2 linked regions of the Bombyx mori genome follow. The protein of the gene in region 1 interacts with the protein of each later gene in a pairwise test. Links are inferred from orthologs where the notes say so. Each region holds a gene or a part of one and is shown on either strand. Other genes may lie near its edges.

What was found.
Region 2: the proteins of kxDL motif-containing protein CG10681 (region 1) and UPF0184 protein AAEL002161 interact in binary tests that used the Drosophila melanogaster proteins (3 or more experiments, as listed by UniProt). The link is inferred for Bombyx mori from reciprocal best matches to the Drosophila melanogaster genes CG10681 and CG14818.

What each region holds. Positions count from the first base shown.
Region 1 is NC_085126.1:11,815,292-11,819,285, reverse strand, and holds the start of kxDL motif-containing protein CG10681, read left to right. Parts: upstream 1-1,194; 5' UTR 1,195-1,371; coding exon 1,372-1,511; intron 1,512-2,060; coding exon 2,061-2,234; intron 2,235-3,057; coding exon 3,058-3,367; 3' UTR 3,368-3,994.
Region 2 is NC_085110.1:8,466,271-8,470,377, forward strand, and holds UPF0184 protein AAEL002161, read left to right. Parts: upstream 1-1,477; 5' UTR 1,478-1,903; coding exon 1,904-2,003; intron 2,004-3,102; coding exon 3,103-3,269; 3' UTR 3,270-3,607; downstream 3,608-4,107. Other genes in the region: probable NADH dehydrogenase [ubiquinone] iron-sulfur protein 6, mitochondrial, read right to left, coding at 3,678-3,743.

The DNA.
Region 1 (3,994 bases):
TCTATGTGTGTGCGGGCCGCGTGAGCGAACACCACACTCACGTAAGTCATGACGGGCCTTATGCAAGTTTTGTAAAGTGTCACCTTGTTCCGAAGGGACATTTTACTCCGCTTACAGATCATGGGATAGAGTCTACCGAGAATAAATGCGGCACGGTCACGGACTGTTTTTATATGCGGACGGAATGTCATGGATGCATCCAGGGTTACTCCCAGGTACTTGACCTTCCTGGTCCAGGGTATAGGTTGGCCGAAGAGGGTGATCGGGGGTGTAATATTTCTCCTCCTAATGCGGGAGGAAATAAGCGGAGAGTAGCATCTTTGTTAACATGGCCTCACACATACGTTAGTGTTAAATACCTACTCTTTGCTAGTTTTACGAGAAAAATATATGAGGACTTTTTGGCGGGAGCGCGAGAAGTGAAGTTGTGTGATTTGTTTTATTTTGTCTATTTAGTGTTTCTTCGGGTTCAATTGTGTAATAACGGTGGTTTCTTAACTGTTTAATATCTGTGAAAGTGCACAAATGTGGGAAAATGAAACAAAGACGCTGGACGTAAGTTCTCGGGATCCTCCAAAATGTCCACTGAAAATATCTCAGCAAATGACCACCATTTTACTGAGATTATATTTCATTCCATATCATCTCTGTTAGACAGTTTTATTTGAGGGGATTGGGTTCTGGAGGAGATGAGGGGCTATTTAAAAAACACTGCTTCATCTATACTAATATTATAAAGAGGAAAGATTTGTTTGTTTGTTTGTTTCGAATAGGCTCCGAAACTACTGAACCGATTTGAAAAATTATTTTTCCATTAGAAGCCGACATTGTCCCTGATGAACATAGGCTACTTTTTTTTATTTATTTTTTTTGGTTTCATGTTTCCGAAGCGAAGAGAAGGCGGGTCGCTAGTGGTTAATATAATGATATTGCAAATACTTTGTACACTATTACACCATTACAATATTTCATTTTTATAAAAGCTTAAGATGTTGCACTGTCTGTGTCTAGATGAGAAGTCATTGTCGTCACTGAAGAGAAGACAATCGTCTGTTTTAAACATTTGTAAAGTTTTAAACAAACTGTAACCATACGTATTACCTGCCATTACTTACATATTCAAACTCGAAGAATCTCATCTCATTTCATATAGTTTAATTTAATTTCATTTCTTAATATTATTTTTCAGAAAAAAAAAATATAACGATTCAGCTGTATGGTATGATACCTTTTGCATTGCCAATTGAAAAAATAAAACTACTTTTATACTGACACTGACACATTAGACACATTTGCTTGTTTTAATGAAAGACCAAAATATCAAGAAATTTGTGTATAAATATAATGTATTGTGTACGAAAACAATAAATAATGGCGAACGGTACTCCAGAAAGTGATTTCTCGATAGAATGCTTCCAGAACTACACTGCGCCCGAAGTTTTTGTTCAAGGCCTAGCCGGTATGGTGGATCAGACTGACGTTGAAGTGATTATTCGAGCACAAAAGAATATGTAAGTACGAGCCAATTGAGAATTTAACTTAAACCAAAAAAGCGAATTCCTAATTATTATACCTATTAATTTTTTCAAACTTAAAAATTATTTGTGAGCAACAAATGAAAATCAGTATGAAATTTAATGATACACTCGCTGAAATAAAATATGTATCAGAACTGGTGGTAAGACCTCTTGTGAGTCCGCGCGGGTAGGTACCACCGCCCTGCCTATTTCTGCCGTGAAGCAGTAATGCGTTTCGGTTTGAAGGGTGGGGTAGCCATTGTAACTATACTGAGACCTTAGAACTTATATCTCAAGATGGGTGGCGCATTTACATTGTAGATGTCTATGGGCTCCAGTAACCACTTAACACCAGGTGGGCTGTGAGCTCGTCCACCCAACTAAGCAATAAAAAATAAAACCTTAAAATACAGTATATGGGCATTTTAATTTATATCTCTCATAATTCATTTTTATATTTTCTGCCTCAGCAGAACAAAATTATTTGACAAGGTGATTTTGTTTTGTTACCAAATAAATCCCGCTCGAATAAAGTTTTCTTAGGTTGCAGAGATTTGAAAAAACAACAGAAATGCTGACAAATTGTAATCAGCTGTCGGCCAGTAGATTAAGGGCTGCATCCACAGAGTTCAAGAAACACACACAACTACTGTTCGAAATGAGGAAGGATTTGGAATTCATATTTAAGAAAATTCGGGCAATTAAAACCAAGCTCAGGTTTGTTTGATTTCTTTTTTAAAAAGAAAAAGTTTGTGTTTTGCTTTTATAATAATAAGTAGTATATAGTATAAATAAATTAAACAAGGCTTAAAGGCTTAAAAAAGCCCTCTGTAGTAATCAGTAGTGTTCCCCTGGCATTGTTGATATCCATGAGTGGAGGAGATCTCACACCATCAGATGAGTCATGTTCTCATACTCTCGGACTGTAATAGAATAAATAAAGAATCTGCTTAGTAGTACATTCATAAATTTAAAAAATGTGGTACCTTTTTTTCGGCCATAGTTGGGTAAACAGTTCATAGCTTATCTGCTATTACTGCAGTTTGTAGACTACATAATACAGCAGTGCGGTTTATTATAATAGTATGCAATATCGCGGACGATCTCCAACACGATGGACCGACCTCATAAAACCTGTGACTCACTCCAATATAAATGATTGCTCACACTCTGCGAAACATCGTGCCACATGGCGTCGCATCGCGAGAGCATCAGTATCGCAGGATCCGACTGATGCATGACCACGACCACTCTTCAAGAGTGTACGAATAGGAAGAAGATGCAATAGTTATCTGGACTCTTGTGTAACAAAACATTTACTCTGAGCTCAGGTAGTCAATCTGAAAGTAATGAATCAATAAATTTAGCTTAAGGCTTCAACTATTGAATCATAATTCTGTGAGAAGAATTGACCTAATGAGCTCATGATCATTAAAAGAAAATTTAATAAAACATTATTTTACATTACTCTATAAAAAGACCATCTGATATGCCACAGTTGAGGGAAACTTATTTACATTAAAAAATAATTAATTTTCAGTTCTCAATACCCAGAAGCATACAAAGAAGCGGTTGCAGAGTCGCTTGCAAATCGTAAACCCCTCGTAGATGACGAAGATCTGAAGCCATCAGAGGAGAAACCTGAATCAAAGATGGTTGCTACAGTCTCAACTGAGACACTGAAACCGACTAATTATAATAAGAAATCTAAGAAAAAAGACAATAAAAGCTTTGAATCTAGTGTGGCCGGCTCAGAAAAAAAACCTGCATGTCCAAAAGTCAGGACCAGTAGTTCCTCGGAAACTGAGAGTGCCAGTTCCGGTGATGATAGTAGTACTGATACAGGTTGAAAACTGGTTCTGTTTTTTCATTAGTCAAATCTAAAACATTTATAAAAGCTATGGAGTTTTCAATAACTAGATTTTTTGTTGATTACAATAAAGAATGACAGTAAAATTCAGGTAAAATCATTACTAATAATATATATTAAAAATGGAGACCCAATAGCAATCTTAATTTTTTTTAAAATGCTTAACCAGGTTCCAAGTGGAACAACTACAAGAAAGTCATCATATTTTGTTATATATTGCATAGTTAAATAATCAGTTTTTGCAAACAGAACTTAACTCTAGAAATATCAGCTTGCGAACTGCCTTGTGCGTATATTTGATAAACTATATTGAATCGAAATTTAAATGACAGGCAATGACTTAATAACCTCGACTTTTAATTATTATTTTTATAATAATGTGTTAAGTACATACTGATTTTTCTAGATTTTATAAGATTTATATATTTATGTAATTTTATTAACCAACAAATATGTACACTACGTATATTAAACACTAGAATAATTTTATATTCAAGTGGGATATATAAATGTGTTGATAATTGTTTGAAAAATTCGGTTACCTTTTAATGTTATTAATTGATAATTTCGATGCAGTGATTGAAAAATCAGCCCACAATTAAACTAA
Region 2 (4,107 bases), on another chromosome or scaffold:
TCCGCCATTGAAAAAGAAGCGTACGCCATTGTGGAATCATTGAAGAAATGGAGACATTTACTTATTGGTAGACATTTTAAGTTGGTAACTGACCAACGCTCGGTTTCTTTTATGTTTAATATGAAACATTCAAGTAAGATAAAGAATGAAAAGATTCAAAGATGGCGACTGGAACTTGCTGCTTTCAAATACGATATTTTATACAGACCGGGAAAAGATAACTATGCTGCTGATGCACTATCCCGAGTTTGTGCCACTGTAGAAACACGTACTGCAAAACTTTTCTCGCTGCATGAGGCTCTTTGTCATCCAGGGGTAACAAGAATGTTTCACTGGGTTCGCTCTAAAAACCTTCCCTATTCTATTGAAGAAGTCAGAACAATGACAAAATCTTGTCGAACCTGCTCTGAAATAAAACCTAGATTCTTCCGAAATACCTTTGATGACCAGAGGAAACTTGTTAAAGCGACGGCTGCTTTTGAACGCCTTAGCATAGATTTTAAAGGACCAGTTCCAACAAATAATAATAACAAATTCATACTTACCGTGATTGACGAATTTTCACGTTTCCCGTTTGCATTCCCATGCTCAGATGTAAGCTCGAAAACAGTGATTAAACATCTTAACAACTTGTTTATAATATTTGGCATGCCTTCTTACGTTCATTCAGATCGCGGAACAGCATTTCTTTCTGCTGAAGTACAGGAATTTTTACATGTTCGAGGTATTGCCACTAGTAGAACTACAGCTTATAACCCTCAAGGTAACGGTCAAGTAGAAAAATTGAATTCTACTCTTTGGAGAACGATTCTTTTGGCGCTGAAGACGAAGAATCTTTCGGTAGAAAATTGGGAACAAGTATTACCACAAGCCTTACATTCAATCCGATCATTACTTTGTACAACCATAAATTGCACTCCACATGAAAGAATGTTTAGACATCCTCGAAGATCTACAAACGGCACTTCTGTTCCATCGTGGCTTACAAATTCTGGACAAGTCTTGATGAAGAAATTTAATCGTACAAATAAATATCAGCCATTAGTAGAAGAGGTTGAATTGATACACAGCAATCCTGACTTTTCATACATTCGGCTTCCAGATAGCCGAGAAACAACAGTGTCGAATCGTCATCTAGCACCATTGGGTTCAGAAAGGGTAGATCTGCGAATAGATAATGAACACACTATTGATTATCATAACGTCGCAGAACCACTTCCGGAAACAGAAGACCAAAACTTGGAGATTCCTTCATCTAATGAAACGGGACCTGTGGTACTTGATAATAACAGAGAGCTAGAGACAGAATTACCATCATCACCACCGCCGGAGCCAACACTTCGTAGATCTGGTCGCGTCCATAAAACGCCAGGATTTTCAAAAGATTATGTTTTAAAATAGTGCGGGAGAATGATGTAAACTTCTTAGTTGAAATTATCAGCCATAAGTTGACGTCATTGTCAATCTGTTTTATTCGTTATTTGTCAATGTATGTACCTAATGTAATAAAAGCAAATTTTATTGTTAATTTTAGCTTATTAAAACCTTATATTCAGTAAAGGTTTTCTCTTATTACAATATATTTTATTTTCCATTTTGGATATGTGCAAGACGCGTCATGCTAAGAGGTTAATAATCCATCAATATTACATATTTAAACAGAAACAATAAAATAACAAAACAATTTGACACTGGGTGTTGCCGCCAAATGCTCCCAACCAAAGATATTACAAACGCTACGATAAAGATCAACGGACTAACTACACCACTGAACTACTATAGTTTAGACTGATCGAACAAACGAAAGTAAGCCTGTCAAATGTCATTTCGACAAAATTCAGTGTATTATCTATGTTTCGCCACTTGAACTTGAACCAAAATCATAGATTAAACGACTAATAAAATGGCATGTGATAATACAAAAAATGGTGGTGAAAATGAAAATGGATCTAATAAAAACATAGAACCTCCAGAAGATGATAACAATGAAGATATAACAGAAGGTAAATTGAAGTAAATTTATAGCGTCAAGCGTATTCCCCAGCACTAAAGATCAACAATAGCAAAACTGTTTTCAATTTCAATTAATTGTAAAACTTTGTGTATCTATTACTATCTATTCACATGACATTGGTATTGGTACTATCCCCAGATTTCTGCAATTAATTAAAAAATATATGAATCAAACTTTAAAATTAATGCCATTACCAATTTTTTCAAATAAATAAGTTTCAGATGATGTTACGGTGTTAGTAAAATTTTAATTATTATGAACAAAATTATAAATATTGATGTTTTAAAATTTGATTTCGTTTTTATTTATTTTTGTTGCTTGTAGCACTTTCATTCCTATATTTAAACACACTTTTACTATCATGTTCTGTGACTATCAGTGTAATGGGATTATTTAAAGTAATTAAATATTTCTAAAATAGCAGTGAAAATGATATTATTATGCATAAGTTCATAATATCCAATGTGTATCCTTATACCATTCTGCTGCTGGTCATTTTATTCTCTGAATAAGTCTTCAGGAATTTTTGGTTCGTATTGTTTTTGTGGCATTGTTGTGTTCTTTGTAATTTTGGGTTAGCATTCCATTACAAATTACTTGTAACTCATACAGGGATGAGCCATTTTACCAGACATTCTCATGTCACATATATCTGGTAATACTGGGTCTCCTAAGGAATGGATTCTTTTGTATACTGTATTGTCTCTTCCACGAGTTTTTTTTTAACAGAAATGATGGTATCGTTACCTATCATTCAATCATTCTACTCACGAAAAAGTCTTAGGTTCTGGTGAAAGGATTCTTTGTCAGCTGACATTACTAATAACCTAGAAGTTAATGATATGATGATGATCACACTATTATGGGAGCTGCATATTCATCTGCCAAAGACAGCAATGACTTATACTGACATAATTACAATTTAATGAAAATCTCTTTCAAAACCTGTTTGGATCTTAATCCAGCTTTTAAATGAGTAAATTATTTCTTTATTTTAATATAAAAACAATCCAGAAGGATAAAATATTATGAAAATAATAAACCTATGAGAATATATAATTTTAAATAACTTATCAAATCCTTTACAGAGTATGAATTATTAGAATCTACATTAGATGAACTTAATTCTGCATTGGATTTCTTGGAGCGTAAAAATGATGATATTCACCAACAATTGAAAGAGCTTTTGCAATCCAATATTGCAATTAGACAAGAAATGCGTGAAGAAAATAAGGAAGTCAACAACAGTAATTGAAGAAATGCAAATACAGCACTATTTTAAATTTAATTGTGCAAATATACATGTTACCTAGTGTAATTTGTTTGTCTCAAAAGTGTAAAATAGAAATTGTTAATCTTAATATTACCATTTATCAATATTTAGTGACCAATACCACAAAGTGAGCGTGAGTTTTAAATAATGTATTATCATACATTTACGATATTTAAGTATGAATAATTATTTATCTTGTTTGCACCATTTAAATGTTATAAGTTGCATATTTATGTCAATAGGAATGAACAATAACATTTAGTTGAGCATTGTTCACAGAAAAAAAATGGGTCAATAAAACATAATATAACATAAAACAATCTTTAATTTACTCATAACTACAAATTATCCAGGTAAAACGTTTAAAAGATGACTTGGACAGTTCAAACTTTAATGACCAGTTTTTTTTATGAATCTTAATCCACAGTATCCACATGAATGGTCACCTGGTTTATCCTGAAAACATATAAGAATTAATGATTTCCATTACCACATCTGTACCAAGAAACCTATAGAAATGCATTTTATTTGATCGCTACTTCTTGTTTTTGCAGAAAAAAACATGTCTTCTAGCCTTTTCTGCCAAACTTCCAAATGTTCACCCCTAATTTCTGTCCAGTTCTCTGGTGGTAGGTACTCTGTTGTGACTCAGCTCAGGCTATTACAATTGTCCTCATGTAACAGTCATGAGTTTCAGTTAGAAGGTTAGGACACAAAGAGCAAACAATGAGACATGAGATAGAGTGGATGATAGAAAACAGATTATAAACCCCAGTAATCACTAAACACCAGGTAATCTGTGACCTTGTCTAGCCATTAT